2 linked regions of the Ovis aries genome follow. The protein of the gene in region 1 purifies or fractionates together with the protein of each later gene. This does not show direct contact. Links are inferred from orthologs where the notes say so. Each region holds a gene or a part of one and is shown on either strand. Other genes may lie near its edges.

Region 1 (11,022 bases):
TGACCTTCCCGTCAGCCCTCTCCCATCTTCAATGCTGCCTCTGGAGAAACTGTGTGGTTCCCCGAACGTAGAAAGGGCCTCCAATTCAAGGCCACAGACTAGCCCATAGGTCCCTTCACACTCCCTCGCCCCTCCCCACTCACAAGGACAGCAGCAAGGAAAAGCCAGCAATGTAGAGGTTCCTCTGGGCACGGAAAAGCTTCATGTGGAAGTGCTCCACAGCCCCAGGGTTGTTCTGGAGGTTCACCTTCTCTGTCACATCATCATACTTTCGAATCTCACGAACAGCATCTGTGGCAGAGCAGAGATACAGGTGTTCAGCCCCGGATCAGTCCAGCTGAGATGCAAGGCGTGAGTCTGGGCAGCCTCGCTTTCCTCAAAACTATCTCCCCTGCTCTTCCCCTTCTACACACATCTTGATGGATGCCTTATCAGAAGTGCTGCCCTCCGACCTGTTCTCTCCTCCAGCTTTTCTCATGTCACCCTCTAGACCCATTCTACCCAGACCACAAGCTTGCTCTCCGTGTCAAGAAGCTCACCGAATCTGAGATGTCGCTGGCAACCAGGGCAACTCCCTTTGCCACGGTGCCCCCACTGTTTGGTTCTGTTTATCACAAACGGGGCTGGCCATCAGCCACCCAACTGATAAGCCAGGCGAGTCCTGTTTATGGAAATGCCCACAAGGGAAGCATGAGCTGCCTAGGAGTCAAGACCTGGAGGATGCCTGCTAAAGATTCAAAGGTTTTCATTTCTAAGTGTCTAAGCTTTATAACTGGTTACTTAAACTGGTGTATTCTGCTTACAAAAAAAAAATTCATGCTCATCAATGTTCAATGTAGGAGAAAGAAGCCCATAACATAATCAATCACCTCCAGTAGAACCTACTTCATGTGGCCAGCTTAAATAAAGCAATCATTTCCAGTCCCATTAATCAATGTCATACACACACCTAAAATTAATGTTCATGTCCCCCAAATTAGACTACAGCGCCACAAGAACAGAAACCTTTCCTATTACATCCTTAAGGCCTAACAGAGTTCTAAGCTGTTACAGGGGGAGCACAAACACCTGAACAGTGAACAACCTCTGCTCTAAAAAACCATTACTGGCCACTCATATATATATATATATATATATATACTCACATCTGTGTGTTTACAGGCTAGAAATGGAACGATCCCATACCTACTACTTTTCTCCCTCAACCCTGCTATCTCTTTTTTCTCAATTGAAGTACACTGATTTGTAACATTATATAAGTCCATTACTTCTATTTCTGTATCCCCTACAACGTGCTTTAAAAAAAATATGGAATGCTTCATGAGTTTGTTTGCCATCCTTATGCAGGGGACATGCTAATCATCTGTCTCATTTCAATTTTAGGATATGTGCTGCTGAAATGAACATCTGAGACATCTTTTTAAATCATTATGTAAAGATCTACCTAAAGAGTGCTCTTAATGGATCCCCATGGGAGAGGGGCAATGTAAGGCTACTATCTGGTTCTTAATTTCTGGTATGAGACTGCTTGTTTTTTAGGCTGATTTTACATCATAAAAACACACCTCCACTTACTGGTATCTTTGTGTTACATCCGTGGGCTTCCCAAGTGGCTCAACAGTAAGGAATCTGCCTGCCAATGCAGGAGACACAGGAAATGTATGTTCGATTCCTGGGTTGCAAAGATCCTCTGGAGGAGGAAATGGCAACCCACTCCAGTATTCTTGCCTGGAAAATCCCATGGACAGAGGAGCCTGGCACACTACAGTCCACAGGGTCGCAAAGAGTCAAACCGAACTGAGTGACTCAGCATACACACATGTGGGTTCCTGACCCCCAAAATTCCCATTTGGGCACCTTAACTCTCAACCAGATGATACTAGGAAGTAGGGCCTTTGGAAGATGAGCACAAAGCCCTCATGAGTGGGTTTAGTGCCGTTATAAAATAGACTCCAGAGGGCTCCCTTGTCCCTTCCTCCATGTGAGGACACGGCCAACACAGAAAATGACTGTGGAAACATAACACAGACTGTTAAAATAGTTACCTGTGAGACATGGGTTTATGGGAACCTTTAACTTTGTAAGTTAAATTCACAAATTTCTAAAGCTGTGCTATTTTTGTGATTTAAACAAAAAACATGTTTTCCCACACTGTCTTCTGCAGCCAGAGACCCCAGCACCTCAAGGTCCACCTTGACTAATGGCAAAGAGCCAACCAGGGATCGGGGCATTGGGCCAAACTAGCTCAAGTCATACAGCAGAGGGCTACCCTCTCTATCTCAGGCCTCCAGCCCACGGCAGTTGACCCTGAACTCTCATTAAGCCCACTCCCCCAGTGAGATGTGCCCTAGATCCCTTCCCAGGGATGGCTAGGGGCCAGCCAGGGCTGCAGCTTCTAGCTAGTTATGCTATGTCGCTAGCATTTGCTACTAGCTAACAACTTACTCTGACTCATTGGAAAAGACACTGATGCTGGGAGGGACTGGGGGCAGGAGGAGAAGGGGATGACAGAGGATGAGATGGCTGGATGGCATCACCGACTCAATGGACATGAGTTTGAGTAAACTCCGGGAGTTGGTGATGGACAGGGAGGCCTGGTGTGCTGCGATTCATGTCGCAAAGAGTCGGACACGACTGAGTGACTGAACTGAACAACTTATTTAGGCAGACCTCTACAGATTACATTAGGATACGAAGCAGCCTTTTATCATAGCAGGATGTCGCTCTAGAACATCCAGGCAGTTCCCTGACTCCTCAAAAAGAAAAACGGCACTTTTGCCAACTACCACCTTCTGCAAAGGGCCTCTCCCACCCAATCTGCCATACCAGGAGAATTCGTGGAATCTGGTGTGCAGAAGGGCAAAGCTCTAAGTGAACACCCCCCAGCATGGTCCCTCCCCACCCCAACTCTTACCCCCAGCCCACACCTAAAAGCAAAAGCACACACACCCAGTTCATAAACCCTGCAGCCTACTGAGACCAAGGTCAGGACAGGTCCATTAGCCTCTCTTGGTTTCAGCTCTGGAAGGACCCAAGGAGCTGCCTGAGACACAAGATGGTCAGCACCAGGGGCATAAAGGCTGCTGGTCAAAGCAAAGACCCTGCCAGCAGTCAGTAGCAGGGATGCTGACGTCTTTGTGGATGAAGGGAGCTTTTCTTCCCCCAAGAGAAAGACAGGCGCACTAAATGGTCTGTCTCTGAGAAGTCAAAGCTGTACTCTAATCATGGAACATGGCACATGGCACAGGGCTTTGTAGCAGAGGCCATGGCAAAAGGTCTAAGTCAGATAGCTACCATCAGCCACAACTCACTCACCAATGACCAGTAGCACAAGGATGACAATGAGAACCACAAAGAAGGTGTTGCCATATGTCACTACCAACTCCACAAGGCGGGACTTGAAAATCTTCTGCCATCTGTGAAAAAGACAAAAAGGCTAAGGTCAGTAGAGTAAGAACACACACCTGGGATCCAGGGCCCTGAAAACAGATACAGTTTTGCACTCTTCTTCAAAGACTGAATATCTCATACAGATTCAGCCTCAGCTGCTTGCAATTTTCCAACTTATGACATCTGTTCAACAGTGTTAAAAAGAAAAAAAAAAAGACACCTGTCCAAGTATAGAAATTTCTAGAAAAAGTCTTAAACACTGGTAGGCTCTGGGGAGAGAAATGCGAAACTTAGCGTCCCCTCTGTAGTATCAAAATGCTTGCCAAATCCACATTATTTCTTTAAACTGTTTTCCCATGTGCCCAATCTTGGCTCATCTAGACTCCCACCACCCCCGATTACCATGAAGCAGACCCCAGACCTCCCTACCTTTCCCTCCATAAATACTTCAGCATACAGCTCCGTCAAAGAAGACCCTTCAGAAATGGCTACCAATCGCAATGCCACCGTCAAGCCTCAAAAATATCAAGAAAAATCTCTCATCATCAGAGCCAGAACTCCAAAGTCCAACTGAGGCAATTATTTTTAACAATTGGTCTGTTTGAATCCTGACAAGGTTCTGATTTTGCATTCTGTTAATAAGTACCTTCAGTTCAGTCGCTCAGTCGTGTCCGACTCTTTGCGACCCCATGAATCACAGCACACCAGGCCTTATTCTACGAACTCCCCCCTCCCTTGCTCTCTGATTTCTCCCCTAATTCACTGTTGCAGAAACCAGGCTGTTTGTCCTGCAAAGCTTTCCATGTAGCAGCTCCAAGTGGGCCACTGTCTCTGCATTTCCTGTGAACTGTATGAGGTGATTCAGATCTAGCTTTTGTAAAGAACATTCCTTAAGCAGTGCTGTACACTTTCTATCACAACAGCAGCCTGTGATTTTTCATTAAAAAGAAGCTTCTATGAAAACATCTGTAAGTCTTATTTGTAATGTTCTAACTTAAGATCAGATGTGTTCCTATAGTATATGTAATCAAGATGAATTTCAAAATAACTTTTCAGAAGTCCTCTGTTCACTGAAAAGAAACATGGCTTCGGCCTTCCTAGGCTGAGTAATGCTCATGAGGCCACTTCGCAACCCCAGCGAGACTGGTTAGGAGGACAGAAGTCACCAAATCAACGGTAACATGACCCAGAGGCAAGTCTTGCAGATCTCACAATGCCATCTCCTAAACACCCGGAGGGCATCGTTTCCAGAATGGTCACTTGGTCTTGTCCCCTCTGGCACACTCTGAAGACCAGAAGACAGGGTGCAGGGGAAAGGACCTAGTCAAGATGTGACTGAGCACAACTGTGGGCCTAGCTGGCGATAATAAACACAGTCCTTGCCACCCCCATCCCAGACAGGTTCTACCTGTTTCCGGCTGGCTTCAACTCTAAGGCCCCCCAACTCTGCAGGCACAAGCTACCGAGACTCTTCCTGGCTTGCCTGCCCATACCTTTTGGGAGAAATGAAGGGAATGCAGAGCAGCAGCACAGCGAAGACCTCTGCATAGAGGAAGGTGGCGACTGCGGTCCACTGCAGACTCATCGTGTTGCTAGCAGCTTTCCACCGGGATGATGTGAGCCTGTTCCTGATGGAGCACAGAACAAACAGGCGTCGTGACAGCTCGGCAGCCACCAGCCCTAGACCTCAGAGCATTCCCAGCCCTCGAGCCCCGCAGCCTGGCTGCCAATACCTCCAGAGACACTTTTCCAAACAATTCCTCCCCGTGGAGTCCGGGAGACTCCGCCTGCGGAACCCTGGCAGCAGTGGGTGGGAATCGGCAGTTCAAGCTACCGCCCACCACACCGCAGCCTCGGTCCTAGTAATGCCTTTGCGCTTCCTCCCAACCTGCGATGCCTCTGGGCCCTTCCACCCGGGCCGACAGAGGAGTAGCGAGCAGCTCCTCCCAGGGCAGGAGCGGAACGCAAAAGCCTCCCAACCACCGCCCCTTCGGCTCAGCTTTCAGTATCTCCGAGAGCCCCCGAGAGCGACTCCTAGAGGACGAGAGTTGGAGCCAAGGGCAAGAGCGGGTCTCAACCCAGCACCTCACGGCCCCGTCCAGAGAAAGTTCTAGAAGACTGTCTCCTCCAAAGCCGGAGAAACCCCTCCCGGCCTCCCAGGTCGGTCGCGGCGCCTACCCGGCTCCAGAAGACCCCTCGACGAGGCCCCGACCCGGCACGCCCTCTCAAGCCCCACCCCGCCGGCTCCTCCGGAGGGACTTCGACGTCGCCCCCTACCCTGGAGATGGCTCCACCCGCCGCCAGCCTGACTTCCCTCCGCCCGGTCCCGCCCCCGCACTCTAGCCTCGGCCCTGGCCCCGCGCACCGGGCCTCCCCGCGCCCCCTCGTCGAGGAGCCGGGGGACCTCGGCGGCCCGGAAGCCCAGCGCGGCGCGCGAGTCCGCTCACCGAGTTCTCCAGAGTCACCACGCACGCCCAGTCGTCGCCAAACTCTCCCACCACCAGCCCGGCCCCGCCCCTTCCCCGCGGCCGGAACCGGAAGCGCCCGGCCAGTCCCGGCCCGCCCCCAACCGCCACAAGGCCCCGGAGGCCCCGCCCCCGAACCGAGGCTCCCGACGTCTGGGACTGGGGAAGGAGCCACGCCTCGCGCGCGCGCGCGGAGAGACGGGTCCCCGGCCTTGGCGGGAAGGCGAGGTGCCGCTTCTCTAGCCCGCGCGGTCCTCCGGCGTCTCTGTGGTCCGGGGAGGGGGCGGGGCCCCACCGTGGGGCGAGAACGGGGTGGGGCGGCCCGTGCCTGGGCTCCGCCTCCCGCCCCTCCTCCGCCTCCTCCCCCTCCCCCGACTCGCCCCTGGGGAGGGGTGGGTGGGTAGGTGGGGATTCTGGGCGGGTGGCGGAGTCACAGTCGCTTCAGCCGGGCTGTGGAGCGGACGGACGCGGCCGGTATCCCAGGGAGGGGCGCTACCAGGGGAGGAGGAGTAGGAGGTGGAGAGAAAAAGACGCCCTCGGCCGGAGACCTCTAGAGGCTCTGACCCCAAGGGCCAAGGGACTGACAAGTTCCTCCACTTCGGCCGCCTGAAGAGGCCGTGACCCTGGAGGGCCCTGAGCCCACCCGCGCCAGGGGCCCCAGCGCCACCCGGGTGGCCTAAAGCGACAGTCTCAGGGACCACTGCGAGGTCTCCAGTTGCCTAGACAACGAGCCCGGGGTCAGAGCCACCACCCTTGCAGCCACCTGCCTCCTCTGCCGCCTCAGGCACCCGTCCCGGTCCCGTGAGTCCAGCCCAGGTGACATGACGGTGCTCTCTACCCCCAGAGCCTCGCGGGTGACCACGCTGAAGCGTACTGCCGTGGTCCTGGCCCTCATGGCCTATGGAGCCCACAAACTCTACCCTCTGGTGCGCCAGTGCCTGGCTCCGGCCAGGGGCCCTCAAGCGCCGGCGGTGGATGGGGAGCCCGCACCAGACGTCTCCGGTGCCCCCGTGGCCTCAGCGGCCAAGGCCGGTGTCAACCAGGTGTTCTTGCAGCGGCTCCTATGGCTCCTGCGGCTGCTATTCCCCAGGATCCTGTGCCGGGAGACGGGGCTGCTGGCGCTGCACTCGGCCGCCCTGGTGAGCCGGACTTTCCTGTCGGTGTACGTAGCCCGCCTGGACGGCCGGCTGGCCCGCTGCATCGTGCGCAAGGACCCTCAGGCCTTCAGCTGGCAGCTCGTGCAGTGGCTGCTCATCGCACTGCCTGCCACCTTCATCAACAGTGCCATCCGCTACCTGGAGGGCCAGTTGGCCCTGGCATTCCGCAGCCGGCTGGTGGCCCATGCCTACAGTCTCTACTTCTCCCAGCAGACCTACTACCGGGTCAGCAACATGGACGGGCGGCTTCGCAACCCAGACCAGTCCCTGACGGAGGACGTGGTGGCCTTCGCTGCCTCCGTGGCCCACCTCTACTCCAACCTGACCAAGCCGCTCCTGGACGTGGCTGTGACCACCTACACCCTGGTTCGAGCAGCCCGCTCCCGCGGGGCTGGCACAGCCTGGCCCTCGGCCATCGCTGGCCTCGTGGTCTTCCTCACGGCCAATGTGCTGCGAGCCTTCTCGCCCAAGTTCGGGGAGCTGGTGGCTGAGGAGGCGCGGCGCAAGGGAGAGCTGCGCTACATGCACTCCCGAGTGGTGGCCAACTCAGAGGAGATTGCCTTCTACGGGGGCCATGAGGTGGGGCTGCTCCTGGGGCCGGAAAGCGCGTGGCTGGGGGAGTCCGGGGCAGGAAGGCCTGGGGCTGCCTATGGCTGATGGCACAGGTGTGGGCTGGCCATGGGAGAGGGAGGCTGTGGACGACCAGGGCCGTGGGCAGCCCGGATCGGCACAGAAATGGAGAAGCAGGAAGGCTGGGTGGAGACTGTCCTGGGTCACTTCTGCTTCCTCTCCACCTCCCTTGTCCTGGCCTTAGGGCTGTGGACCCTAGTGATGGGAGACCCAAGAGCTCCCAGCCTGCCCCCTGCCTGCAGCCAACAGAGAAGGGGCTCCTGCCATCTGGGGGCAGGGATGACAGGATGCAGCCTGCTGTCTGGCCCCCTCCTATTCCCCCAGGCCCTTTGAAGCCCGGCGTCCGGCCGGGCAAGTGGGCATTATGGGCATGACTCAGCCCAAGCGGAGGTTAACAAGCAGCAGTGCTCGGTGTGTCGATCGGATCTCAGCGCTCCAGATCAAGCTTCTCCCCCCTCCGGAGCCCAAAGGCTGGCCTGGCTGCGGGCTTGGCTGCCTCCCCGAGGCCCCAGCCAGGGGTGCCGGGGCCCAAGCCGCCACTGCAGCAGGACGCACTTCCTGCCCTCCCAGCGGCCACCTTGCCCCCAGTGTGGCCGCCCTTCCGCCCAGGTCCCAGCCGTGCAGCTCCCCAGCAGGCTGGGTCAGCGGCCAGCCGGCTAGGGCCAGGAGCCGGGGCCTGGGAGAGGTTACTCCAGGCCAGTGCTCCGGCCCCTCCCCTCCTCCTGCCTGGGTTGCAGCTGCCTCCGGCTAGGTTCTCTGCGACTCTGGTTTCGGTTCCCCAGTGCTTCTGGGGGAGGGGTACAATGGCATCCAGCTCCTGAAGGCCCATGGATCCTCCCTAGGTCAGATGGCCTTGTGTCCTCGACCTTGTCTCATTGGCAGCCCATCTTATCAGGCAGGGAGGCAGGCTTGTCCCTGATTTTTTTTTTTTTTTAAGACTTATCCCTGAGCAGATAGGGGCATTCCCGGCTGGGCTCCAGATAAGGAGAAAAAGGGCCGGATCTGCAGCCGCAACCCCCGTCCTCCTCCCCTGTGCTCCAGGGACGCAGGGTCTTGGCAGGCAGCCGTGGCCCTGGGTGAGGCACTTGGCACATTCCCCGCAGCTACATTGTCAGCCCCAGCTGGCACTCTTGCCAGCTCCCAGCACGAGCCTGGATCGCCAGGGCGCTCAGAGTAGACGTGCTCACTTCAGGAACGGCAGAGCGATGCCCAAGACCTAGCTGGGGACAGGGGAGGTGGGAAGAAGGGAGAATCACTAGCTCTTTGAAGGATTTCCTCTGGGTTAGTTTCAGGAAATAGCATGTACTTGGGGCAGATTCACCAGCTGGGGTGGGAGGGGCCTGATGTACGTCCCCAACCTGTCTGTCAAGGCCTCGGGCAAAGGGCTGTGTGATGTGATGGGCCTTCATGGGTGGCTTGATTGCCCTCACTGTGCGGGCACGTGGCTCAGCCCAGTCCCATTGGCTGATGTCCCCATGGACACTGGCCCAGGCTCAGATCAGCAGGCTGGGGCAGAGGTAGCTGGCTGACTGGAGGGCAGACCGCCGAGTATTTTGCTATTCCTGGGATGTCAAGGAGAAGGGTTATTGCTGCTGCTGCTGCTGCTAAGTCACTTCAGTTGTATTCGACTCTGTGCGATCCCATAGATGGCAGCCTACCAGGCTCCTCTGTCCCTGGGATTCTCCAGGCAAGAATACTGGAGTGGGTTGCCATTTCCTTCTCCAGTGCATGAAAGTGAAAAGTGAAATGAAGTTACTCAGTCGTGTCCAACTCTTGGCGACCCCATGGACTGTAGGTAGGCTCCTCAATCCATGGGATTTTCCAGGCAGGCATACTGGAGTGGGTTGCCATTTCCTTCTCCACAGAAGGGTTATTACACGGGCTCATACCAACACATCCAACCTCTTATTAGCCTGAGCACGGGTAGACTTTCTTAATAAGTCAAAGCATCGTTCACAAGAATTGGCTTTGTTTAATGGCTCAGCCTACCTGGTCCAAATGCCATATGTCTTGCCACCTCCAGGCTGTGTGAACTGGAGCAGGTCACTTTGCCTGTCTGGGCTACCACAGACAGGAGAATACACATACAATGGGACGTGGTGAGAATCAAGTCAAGAGTCAGCTATAACATGGTGAATTGGCAAAGGAAACTATTCCAGGCTGGGCAGCTCTTGTCCGTTGGGTAGGGAGACAGGATCAGAGCAGGCGCCCCTACCAAGCCATCCAGGACCCAATGGCCACCTTGCTGCGACTGCTTCTTGGCCACTCCAGCCCATCTAACTGCTGCTGTCCCAGAGAGCCTGTTTCTCGCCCACTCTCTCCTGAGATGGCAAGTGGTGGCCAGTGCACAAGCAAGCAGGGCAGGTCCCCTCGTGGCCTGGCTGGCGGGCTGGCGTCCTCAGCTGGCTTGGGTGTGGGGCTGTCCACTGGGGGTGATGCCTGAACGAGCTTGCTTGGGAGTGTGCCCTGCCGATCACAATGGGAGGACACAGTGCAAGTTTATCACCCAGAGGAACTGTGGGAAAGGAAAGGGAGGCCAGGGCCTATGGAGGTAGAGATGACCGGAGCACGTTCTTTGAAACCAGCTATTGCCTTTGTGTTTCCTGCACTCCCCTCCGCTTCATTCAGGGTGACCCCTCCGCAGTTGCTCAAAGAAATGGGCAAGGTGGCTGCCCTCAGCCCGTGTTGAAAAACTCTCTGGGGCAGAAAGGGGGCACGGTGAACATCCCAACTGAAGAGACAGTGGAAAAGGGGTGGGAGCCTCAGAAATGAGGGGGTGAGCCCCTTCACTGCCGTTGTACCCCAGCTCTGCATTGTCTATGCCATACCTCCCCTGAGTTTGAGACCTGTCCCCCGTCCATGGTAACCCAGACAGGGAAAGTGACCTGCTCCAGCTCACACAGCCTGGAGGTGGCAAGAGGTATGGCATTTAGACCAGGTAGGCTGAGCCATTAAGCAAAGCCAATTCTGGTAAACAATGCTTTGACTCATCAAGCATGGCCCAGTCCTAAGCCCCAGCTCTCAGCCCCGTCATGGCCTTTGAATGCCATGGCCTGTGTAGCCTGGCACTCAGGGATGCTCGCTGTTGCCCCGGGGGACTGACTGCCACACCTCTGGGTCTCCGGCACCCCTTCCCCACAGGTGGAGCTGGCCCTTCTGCAGCACTCCTACCAGGACCTGGCTTCCCAGATCAACCTTATTCTGCTGGAACGCCTGTGGTATGTCATGCTGGAGCAGTTCCTCATGAAGTACGTGTGGAGCGCCTCTGGCTTGCTCATGGTGGCTGTCCCCATCATCACTGCCACTGGCTACTCAGAGTCAGGTGAGAGGGGGCCGGCCTTCTGGACCACTGGGCTAGGCTTGGGAGGGCCCAGTGCCCA
Region 2 (11,054 bases), on another chromosome or scaffold:
AAAGCTATGATATATAAGGAGATCTAGCCCATAAAGCCTGAAAGTCCCCTTTAGAGGTAGGAAGGCAAAAAACAAACTTCCTTCATATTTGGGTAAATTAGGGAAAGCAAAATATTCTTTGATGTAGCTAAGTGGTAAAGAATCCACCTGCCAGCGCAGGAGACGCAAGAGTTGCAGTTTTAATCCCTGGATTGGGAAGATCCCCTGGAGGAGGAAATGGCAACCCACTCCAGTATTCCTGCCTGGACAATTCCATGGAGAGAAGAGCCTGGCGGGCTAAGGTCCATGGGGTTACAAAACAGTTGGACTGAGAGACTTAGCAACTGAACACACACACACAGAGAATATTCTCTAGTTAACATGCAAAACTTTAATGAATTTCTGGAGTTTTAAATGACAAAGAAAGGGAGCAGAGCAAGCAGGGAGAAACAGATCTTCCGGGCTCTTTGTTTCAGAAGGGATGGAATTAAACAGCACTGGAATAATAAAGTGATGGAACAGGAGGAGGAGGAAGAAGTGAAACACCAGCAGGGCACCCTGCAGGTTTCTGAATGAGATGTGTGTTTAAGATGCAGGAAGTCACGGGAATCTTAGGATGGCTGGGCTAGGGGGCAGGAAGCCAGAGACTATGACACGGCATTAATCAGAGATGGACACAGAAGGGAAAACAGTGATAACAGCAGATAGAACAGCTGGCCCCTCCAAAGTTCTGGGAAGGTCGGCACTGCCGATGATCAGCTCAACGGGCTGGCGAGCCTCTCTCCTCACCGCACGCCTTCACCCTTCTGAGAGGTCCCGCTGCACAGCCATTGGCCTGGTTCTTACCTTAACCCAGACCAGCTCTGGGAGCCCATCTGTTACCGCTGACATTAGGCCCTACTCACCAGAGCCCAAGCCTGACACCTCACACAGCCACCCTGGGTCACTCCCCATCACTGAACTAGACTCTGGCCGATAGAGCACAGCTTTCTGTGCTTAAATCCCTGCCCACTGCATTGTTTACTGTGTTATTGCTGCTTCCTCAAACGGAAGCTTTTGAGAATAGAAATGGTATCTCTTTCAAGTTCCACAGTCTCCACAATAAGAACTCAGCAGATTCTGGACCACTGATCAAAAGGAATGATGTTAGTACCAGAGGGTCGTGGTGTTCCAAACTCAAGTCAAGGTAGGCTTTTTTTTTTTTTTTAATGGAGGAAACTGCTTTTTGATGTTGTGTTGGTTTCTGCCATACAGAGACGTGAATCAGTCATAGGTATACATATGTCCCCCCACTCTCGAACCTCCCTACCACCTCCCACCTCATCCTCTAGGTTATCACAGAGCACAGGTTTGAGCTCCCTGTGTTAAAGAGCAAATGCCCACTGGCCATCTGTTTTATATATGGTGATGTGCATGTTTCAAAGCGGCTCTCTCAGCCTGTCCCACTCTTTCCCATTCCCAAGTGTCCACAAGTCCGTTGTCTGTGTCTCCGATTCTCCCCTGCAAACAGGTTCATCAATACCATTTTTCAAGATTCCATATATACATGTATCAGTTCAGTTCAGTGGCTCAGTCGCGTCCGACTCTTTGCGACCCCATGAATCGACTGCAGCACACCAGGCCTCCCTGTCCATCACCATCTCTCGGAGTTCACTCAAACTCACGTTCATCAAGTATATATGCATTAATATATCAATGTCTGTTTTTCTCTCTGACTTACTTTGCTCTGTATAATAGGCTCTAGGTTCATTCACCTCACTCAGTTCAGTTCAGTTCAGTCGCTCAGTCGTGTCCGACTCTTTGCGACCCCATGAATCTCAGCACGCCAGGCCTCCCTGTCCATCACCAACTCCCGGAGTTCACTCAGACTCTCGTCCATCAAGTCAGTGGTGCCATCCAGCCATCTCATCCTCTGTCGTCCCCTTCTCCTCCTGCCCCCAATCCCTCCCAGCATCAGAGTCTTTTCCAATGAGTCAACTCTTCGCATGAGGTGGCCAAAATACTGGAGTTTCAGCTTTAGCATCATTCCTTCCAAAGGAATCTCAGGGCTGATCTCCTTCAGAACGGACTGGTTGGATCTCCTTGCAGTCCAAGGGACTCTCAAGAGTCTTCTCCAAAACCACAGTTCAAAAGCATCAATTCTTTGGTGCTCAGCTTTCTTCACAGTCCAACTCTCACATCCATACATGACCACAGGAAAAACCATAGCCTTGACTAGATGGACCTTTGTTGACAAAGTAATGTCTCTGCTTTTTAACATGCTATCTAGGTTGGTCAAAACTTTTCTTCCAAGGAGTGTCTTTTAATTTCATGGCTGCAGTCACCATCTGCAGTGATTTTGGAGCCCAAAAAGATAAAGTCTGACACTGTTTCCACTGTTTCCCCATCTATTTCCCAAGAAGTGATGGGACCAGATGCCATGATCTTAGTTTTCTGAATGTTGAGCTTTAGGCCAACTTTTTCACTCTCCACTTTCACTTTCATCAAGAGGCTTTTAGCTCCTCTTCACTTTCTGCCATAAGGGTGGTATCATCTGCATATCTGAGGTTATTGATATTTCTCCCGGCAATCTGGATTCCAGCTTGTGCTTCTTCCAGTCCAGCGTTTCTCATGATGTACTCTGCATAGAAATTAAATAAGCAGGGTGACAATATACAGCCTTGACGTATTCCTTTTCCTATTTGGAACCAGTCTGTTGTTCCATGTCCAGTTCTAACTGTTGCTTCCTGACCTGCATACAGATTTCTCAAGAGGCAGGTTAGGTGGTCTGGTATTCCTATCTCTTTCAGAATTTTCCACAGTTGATTGTGATCCACACAGTCAAAGGCTTTGGCATAGTCAAGAAAGCAGAAATAGATGTTTTTCTGGAACTCTCTTGCTTTTTCCATGATCCAGCAGATGTTGGCAATTTGATCTCTGGTTCCTCTGCCTTTTCTAAAACCAGCTTGAACATCAGGGAGTTCATGGTTCATGTATTGCTAAAGCCTGGCTTGGAGAATTTTGAGCATTACTTTACTAGCGTGTGAGATGAGTACAATTGTGCAGTAGTTTGAGCATTCTTTGGCATTGCCTTTCTTTGGAATTGTAATGAAAACTGACCTTTTCCAGTCCTGTGGCCACTGCTGAGTTTTCCAAGTTTGCTGGCATATTGAGAGCAGCACTTTCACAGCATCATCTTTCAGGATTTGAAATAGCTCAACTGGAATTCCATCACCTCCACTAGCTTTGTTCGTAGTGATGCTTCCTAAGGTCCACTTGACTTCACATTCCAGGATGTCTGGCTCTAGGTGAGTGATCACACCATCGTGATTATCTTGGTCATGAAGATCTTTTTTGTACAGTTCTTCTGTGTACTGAACTGACTAAATTGTGTTACAGGTAGGTAATACGCTCTGAAGGAGCATTTACCAAGTAGCAATTAAGAAAGGTTGGTATACAGGAACTGCTATAAATTTGTTTTTATTTATCTCACTACAAACAGTAGTTTTGAGTTACCTAGCTACAAGTATTAGTTATCAAATATTAGTGATAAATGCAATTCATCACATTTTTTTCTTGAGAGATGTTCTCCCCAAGCTCCTTTTAAAGAGAGTCTTGAAAACTGACTAAGAAACAGAATTTGCTGTCAGCTAATTCACCCACTGAGAAGCTGGTCTGTAGCTCTTCTGGTTTTGTTTAGAAACTTTGTGCAATTCCTTTTCTGCCTCATAAGAATGATATAAAAGTAAATGGTTTATAGTACAGTTTAATAATCTCTTATCTTCTGAGAAATGTATCCATAAAAAAAGTCAGGCAAGATATACCTTAGGGCAGTGATTCTCGACTAGGAGTGACTTTGTTATCCCCAAGGGGACATTTGACAAGAGTTGGAGACATTTTTGGTTGTCTTGGGGAAGGGGGTGAGGGGGTGGGGATGATACTGACGTCTGGTAAGTGAGACAGTAATGAACACGACAGACTCTACAAAAAAGAAAAAATGGCAAACACTTCATTAAATAAAATATCCTGGTGGCTCAGACGGTAAAGAGTCTGCCTGCAGTTCAGGAGACCCAGGTTCAGTCCCTGTGTTGGGAAGATTCCCTGGAAAAGGAAATGGCATCCCACTCCAGTACTCTTGCCTGGAAAATTCCATAGATAGGGGAGCCTGGTGGGCTACAATCCATGGGGTCACAAAGAGTCGGACACAACTGAGCGACTTCACTTTCACTTTTTCACTTGATAAATACTATTTTTTTTCTAGACACCAATAAAGTGCATACACACTGGATTTTAAAATCCCACGATTATACATCCCCTGGGAATGGGGAAGGAACAGTTGTAAGTAGACATCTGGCATCCATTAGGCCTGATGTTACGATACAAGACTGTTAAGAAATTCTAATAGCAAATAAGCTCTGTTTCTCAGCAGAAGGGATAGGACAGATCTGACCCTCTGCTATAAACCACTCTTAACCACATCAAGACACTATTTTATCTTCTGGTACATCACCTGGTAACAATTTAACAGTAAAATATGTTACTAATAGACAACTTCAACCTTTAAAAAAATTAAGCATTCTCTGCCAAACAAATGTATTTTGATACAAATTGTGATCCAGCTCAGATCAAGCCTCTATCTTCATTTTTCTCACAAACTAAGTAAAGAATTCCCATCACTAAACATTCCCGTTTATTGTCTGGGGGAATGAAGGAGAGTGTTACATGTTGACGGAAAACAAACAAAATTCTGTAAAGCAATTATCCTTCAAGTAAAAATAAATTTAAGAAAAGAGGGAGGGGATGTATGTATACATATAGCTGATTCACTTGGTTGTACAGCAGAGACTAACACAACATTGAGCAATTATACTCCAGTAAAAAATTGTTTAAAAAAAATTTTTATGACTGAACCTCCCCCCAACACACCCACACAGTGACCAAACAGTCAGAGGTAGCAAACAAAAACCCCTTAGAATTTATTGCAAAAAAGTATAATCAATGCAAAGAATCAAGGCAAAGGATTGTTTTCCTGCAAGTTACCCAGCTACTTTACAATTCCCAAAGCTGCCTAAGGGTGAAGTCGCACTGGCTCTTTTCACTTGTCTGTTCACTGCCACTCGCCCCCCACCCCCACCCCCGACCCCTACCCCAGCCCCTCGCAGGAGTCCAATACTGCGCCTCATCCTTAAATATCACTGGGCGCCTTCTAGGTGAACAGCGGGTGACTGGGCGTGGATGGTGGAGTGGCACCGGCTCCAATTAGGAATCCACTCCAGGAATAAGAAGTCGCACGACCCTGGTCCTAGATGAAGACCTGGCCTATGCAAACTCAAGATAAAAAGGACCTTCAAAAGTCCTCCCGTAGTTGCGCCCTCAACTCCACGTGCGACTTTGCTCCCCACTAAGTGCGAAGCGGGGCTCTCCCACCTGCCCGCGCAGGTTCCCGGGAAGCGGCTCCCGCCCCAAGAGGGCGCGCCGCGGGCTGCGAGACTGGCTCACCTGGCCGCAGCACCTATGCACCTCCGGTCGCCCCCAGGTGTTCGCACACGGAGGTGCAGCCTCCGGTGACAACGCGGGCGCACAGACTCAGGGGTACAAACTCGGGGTCCGCTCCCAGGTGTGCACTCAGGCAGCGCACACACAGAGGGAGGCAGAGACACAGGCGTGCGGATGAGGGGAGTGCTCCCAGGTGTGCAGAGCCCGGTGCTCCCGCGCGGGTGAGCACACTCAGGTGTGCACGCGGAGTCGTGCGCAGATCAATCCCGCCACACAAGGGAAGTCTCGGCAGGGAGCCCCTCAAGCCCCGGTGGGCATCCTGCCTGCATCAACTCACCTCCTCCAAAAATTTGGTCAAATCGTACACTTTGTAGTGCAGGATCAGCCAGGTGCTCTTGCTGTGGTTGTGCTTCTGGATCTCTTCCAGGGTGTAGTACTTAACGGGTTTGCTGGACTCCTCGGCCATTTCTTAACGCAGCGAACTTAAGGCCCTAAAAGCAGCAGAAGAGCGGGACGGAGAAGAGCGGGCGTCTCTGCGAACTCGCCCTGGGACATTCCCAGCTGCCGGGCTCGGCTCCTGGGGAGGAATGTCCTCACGGAGGAGGGGAGTGGCCGAAGTACGGCCTCCGACGATTGGCCAGAATTCCTGTCGCTCAAGGGCCCCGCCCCCGCCCGACACTCTCCACCAACCCGGTGGGCCCCGCCCAGTGAGCGGGTGTTGATTGGCTGCAGAAGATGCCCTTCACAATCACAGCTTAGGAGAGCGCGGGGGGCGGGGTTTCCCCGCGTCTGCTCCGAAGGCGGTGGCGCCGGGGTCTGGGCGTCCGGGATCGCGTGGACCAGGCGGGGTGACCCGCGCAGAGTCCACCTTGTGCAGGGCAGCGACCCCACATCAAAATCGCCGCGGTTTCCCAATCCGGTCAGACCTGGGCGTTCGTTAATTTGTAACAGAGTCCTTCCGCAGCGAGTGTAGGGGCCTCAGACATGCAGAGCAACCTGGTGGACGTCGCCGGACGAGTGTGCTGCCCGGAGGACTGCTTGACCCATCCCCTCCCGTCCCAGAACTGCCCCATTCTCTCAGGAGAAAAACAAAACAAAACCCGGGAACTGTTCCAAAAAAGCAAAAGCGGCCTCAAGTGTAGGTTCTGAGGACGTCGGTGGCTCTGAAGTTACTCTGTCTTCACCCCTGACTAGGCGAGTACTTGTATTAGTGTCTTCTGTCTTTTCTCACCAGTATATTGTTTAAGGTAAATTCCAAATGATTGATAGCTCTTGGAACAGAGTCTGGAGCAGTACCTCCCCAGCTGAGCATCCATAGGAAGATTTACAAATGTTCTATTTTAAAAGGCGGGGGAGAGAATTCCAGCACGTAAAAAAAAAAAAAAAAAAATTAGTCTGATTTTTGCTAAGGCCTTTTTCAGCAATGGTATTTACTTCCAAAAAGAACGACACAATGGATTACACATGTAGGTCATCCTCCAGGAAACAGCACAGTTCTTTCCACTCGCTGCTGCTAGTGTTGGTTTCCTACCCCCTTGCTTACCTCCTCCGTAGGAATGCAAGGCCAAGAAGACAAGTTCCCAAACATTCCAAATACTCTTTATCCATTTCACATGATGGAATGCTTTGGTTTTCAAATACTGCACCAGCCTTGCATCTCTGGAATAAGCCCTACTTGCTTATGATATGTAATTCTTTTTTTTTTTTTCCAATGTGCTTTTTAAATTATAAAGGAGGCAGAAATATACAATGGAGAAAAGACAGTCTGTTTACAACTGGTGCTGGGAAAACTGGTCAACCACCTGTAAAAGAATGAAACTAGAACACTTCCTAACACCACACACAAAAATAAACTCAAAATGGATTAAAGATCTAAACGTAAGACCAGAAACTATAAAACTTAGAGGAAAACATAGGCAGAACACTCTCTGACATAAATCACAGCAATATCCTCTATGATCCACCTCCCAGAATAATGGAAATAAAAACAAAAATAAATAAATGGAACTTAATTAAACTTACAAGCTTTTGCACAACAAAGGAAACTACAAGCAAGGTGAAAAGGCAGCCTTCAGAATGGGAGAAAATAATAGCAAAGCAACTGACAATTAATCTCCAAAATATACAAGCAACACATGCAGCTCAATACCGGAAAAATAAATGACCCAATCAAAAATTGGGCCAAAGAACTAAACAGACATTTCTCCAAAGAAGACATACAGATGGCTAACAAACACATGAAAAGATGCTCAACATCATTCGTTATCAGAGTAATGCAAATCAAAACCACAATGAGGTACCATCTCACGCTAGTCAGAATGACTGCCATCAAAGAGTCTACAAACAATAAATGCTGGAGAGGGTGTGGAGAAAAGGGGACCCTCTTACACTGTTGGTGGGAATGCAAACTAGTACAGCCATTATGAAGAACAGTGTGGAGATTCCTTAAATAAAAAAAACAATAGAACTGCCATATGACCCAGCAGTACCACTGCTAGGCATACACATCAAGGAAACCAGAATTGAAAGAGACATATGTACCCCAGTGTTCACTGCAGCACTTTACAATAGCTAGGACACAGAAGCAACCTAGGTGTCCATTGGCAGACAAATGGATAAGGAAGTTGTGGTACATATACATAATGGAATATTACTCATCTATTAAAAAAGAATGCATTTGAGTCAGGTCTAATGAGGTGGATGAAACTGGAGCCTTATTATACAGAGTGAAGTAAGTCAGAAAGAGAAACAGCAATACAGTATATTAACACATATATATGGAATTTAGAAAGACAGTAATAATGACCCTATATGCAAGACAGCAAGAGAGACACAGATGTAAAGAACAGACTTTTGGACTATGCAGGAGAAGGCAAAGGTGGGACGATAAGAGAGAATGGTATTGAGACATGTATATTACCGTATGTAAAATAGATGACCAGTACAAATTCAACGCATGGTGCAGGGCACCCAAATCCGGTGCTCTGGGACAACCCAGACGGATGGGGTGGGGAGGGATGTGGAGGAGGGTTCAGGATGGTGGAACACATGGACACCCAGGGTTGATTCATGTCGATGTATGGCAAAACCCACCATATATTGTAAGTAATTAGCCTCCAATTAAAATAAATAATTTAAAATAATAAATTTTTAAAAAGTATAGTTAATTTACAATGTTGTTGGTTTACTGATTTGTTTTAAAGAGCTCACTTCTGGCCTCTGATTTTCTCCACTGTTTTTCTTTTTTTGGTCACTAATTTCTGCTCCTTATTGAGTCTTTCCTTCTGCTTGCTTTGGGTTTCTTTTTTTTCCTAGTTTCTTGAGGTGGGAGTTTAGATTATTGAATTGGGATTTTTCTTCTTTTCAAATACATGCATTTAGTGTTATAATTGTCCAAATGTTTTAAAAACAGTAAATCAGGTTATGTATACCAGTACCCTAACAGTTCCCAGGTCTGCTGAATCTCCGCATGACTCTGGCAGAGCAGTGTGTCAGTGACGACTGCCTCTATAATCCAATGTCAAGACTGTTTCAGATTTCAGTGCCAGTTCTGAATAACTCCAGAAGTGGTTAAAACAAAACTTTGGTGCCCGTGACCTGGATCCTATTCCTGGTTTAGTAACCTATCAGATGCATGACTATGACCTAATCAGTTAACTCTCTAAGCCATTGCTTATAAAATGTTTAGCCAGGGTCTGGCACAAAAAGAGCAATCAACAGATTTTAGCAAATGCTATTATCAAACAAGACTTCCTTACTTTAAAACACTGGTATAAGGAAACATCCTACATGGCAAGTGCTCCAAGGTGAAGCGTGTGCCAAGTCACTTCAGTCGTGTCCAACTCTGTGCGACCCCATGGACTGCAATCCCCAGCTCCTCTGTTCATAGGATTCTCCAGGCAAGAACTGGAGTGGGATATCATTTCCATCTCCACCAAGGTGAAGTAAATTTAGGCAAACTTAGAAACAAATCTAAGAAATTAAAAGGAATTCAGATATTTACAAACTTCCTGATGTTCCCTCCAGCAAAGAAATTTTAATAAACATTTAGAAAACCAACTCTACTCCTGAAGTTCCTCAGGTGAAATATACTGTAGAAAGCACTCACTCTTCTACTAAAAAGCCAAAATAAGCAAACATCATTACGTTTTTTATTCCTTTTCTAATTCCTCCTGCCACTCATGCACAAGACACACTTCAGCAGCTCTTTACTTCCCATTGACAAATCATTATATTTGCTATAACCATAGAAACCAGGCTCCCTTGACAAATGGGCACTCTACAAAGATGGACTCCAACTCAAATTATCTACATGGATAATTTGCATTAAACCCGTGTCTTTTAAATACGTTCAATTCAGTCACTCAGTTGACTCAGTGTCTGACTCTTTTTGACCCCATGAATCGCAGCACGCCAGGCCTCCCCGTCCATCACCATCTCCCGGAGTTCACTCAGACTCACGTCCATCAAGTCAGTGATGCCATCCAGCCATCTCATCCTCTGTCGTCCCCTTCTCCTCCTGCCCTCAATCCCTCCCAGCATCACAGTCTTTTCCAATGAGTCAGCTCTTGGCATGAGGTGGCCAAAGTACTGGAGCTTCAGCTTCAGCATCATTCCCTCCAAAGAAATCCCAGGGTTGATCTCCTTCAGAATGGACTGGTTGGGTCTCCTTGCAGTCCAAGGGACTCTCAAGAGTCTTCTCCAACACCACAGTTTAAAAGCATCAATTCTTCGGTGCCTAGCTTTCTTCACAGTCCAACTCTCACATCCATACATGACCACTGGAATTTAGCATAGGTTAACTGTTCCCTTCTAAAAATATCTATTTCTTTAGTATACATATCCTATGTAGTTGATTTCCAAACAACTCCCCATCTGTTGGCAATAATTTCCAAAGCTTACTAAATTTTTAAAATTTTCATTCATTTTAAAATGGACTTGAAGTTGTTTTTACCCATGTATATTTATAACACACCAGAATGTCAGCTGATAATCTCTAATCAATTGACTATCAGAGGCAGAAATGAGGAGCAGAGAGCAACAGATATCATCTGATCACAAAGAATACAAATGTCGTATGTTCACTGCTGAGGTAGAGCAACTGTCCTCAGTAACTTCAGACAAGTCAAGCTAATTATATGCAGGAAAGTTTATTATACATACATTCTTAGGCATATTTCCTTGTATATATTCCTACATATTTCCTTGTATTTAATATGTCCATCTTTAAACAGGAGCAGGTAAATAAAAAGATTAAATGTTTGATTGTACATGATTGCAATATTAAATTTATTTTTAAAATCTTTTTGTCTCCAGCACAAGTAAATAGAACAGAGTAAAATAGTATAGATAAGGAAAATTCCAGATATGCTATTTAACTTTGTAGAAATTCAGGGTTCTAAACAGTTTTATGAAATACAGCTGATGGTGTTATCATCATCAGGTCTGCAAGTCAGAAGACTGGGAATCATAGAGGTCAGTCTCCTCTTTATCCCTACTACCACTGCCCCAGGTTTGTCTTTCAGGATTAGCTGCCTATCTGTTTACAGTAACTACCTTACATGTTCTTCCAGCCTTTAGTCTTGAACTTCTCAGACCCA

Evidence for each region.
Region 2: the proteins of BCAP31 (region 1) and CYB5A purify together in Homo sapiens (co-immunoprecipitation; 4 studies listed by BioGRID and IntAct, with this or other methods). This does not show direct contact. The link is inferred for Ovis aries from reciprocal best matches to the Homo sapiens genes BCAP31 and CYB5A.

What each region holds. Positions count from the first base shown.
Region 1 is NC_056080.1:80,540,749-80,551,770, reverse strand, and holds the start of BCAP31 (B-cell receptor-associated protein 31), read right to left. Parts: upstream 5,883-11,022; 5' UTR 5,668-5,882; exon of another isoform or gene 5,569-5,667; intron 5,368-5,568; exon of another isoform or gene 5,124-5,367; intron 5,019-5,123; 5' UTR 4,976-5,018; coding exon 4,884-4,975; intron 3,417-4,883; coding exon 3,316-3,416; intron 1,406-3,315; exon of another isoform or gene 1,303-1,405; intron 292-1,302; coding exon 144-291; intron 1-143. Other genes in the region: ABCD1 (ATP-binding cassette sub-family D member 1), read left to right, coding at 6,677-7,591, 10,784-10,964. UniProt on the Homo sapiens protein: Functions as a chaperone protein. Is one of the most abundant endoplasmic reticulum (ER) proteins.
Region 2 is NC_056076.1:4,327,937-4,338,990, reverse strand, and holds the start of CYB5A (cytochrome b5), read right to left. Parts: upstream 5,921-11,054; coding exon 5,792-5,920; intron 1-5,791.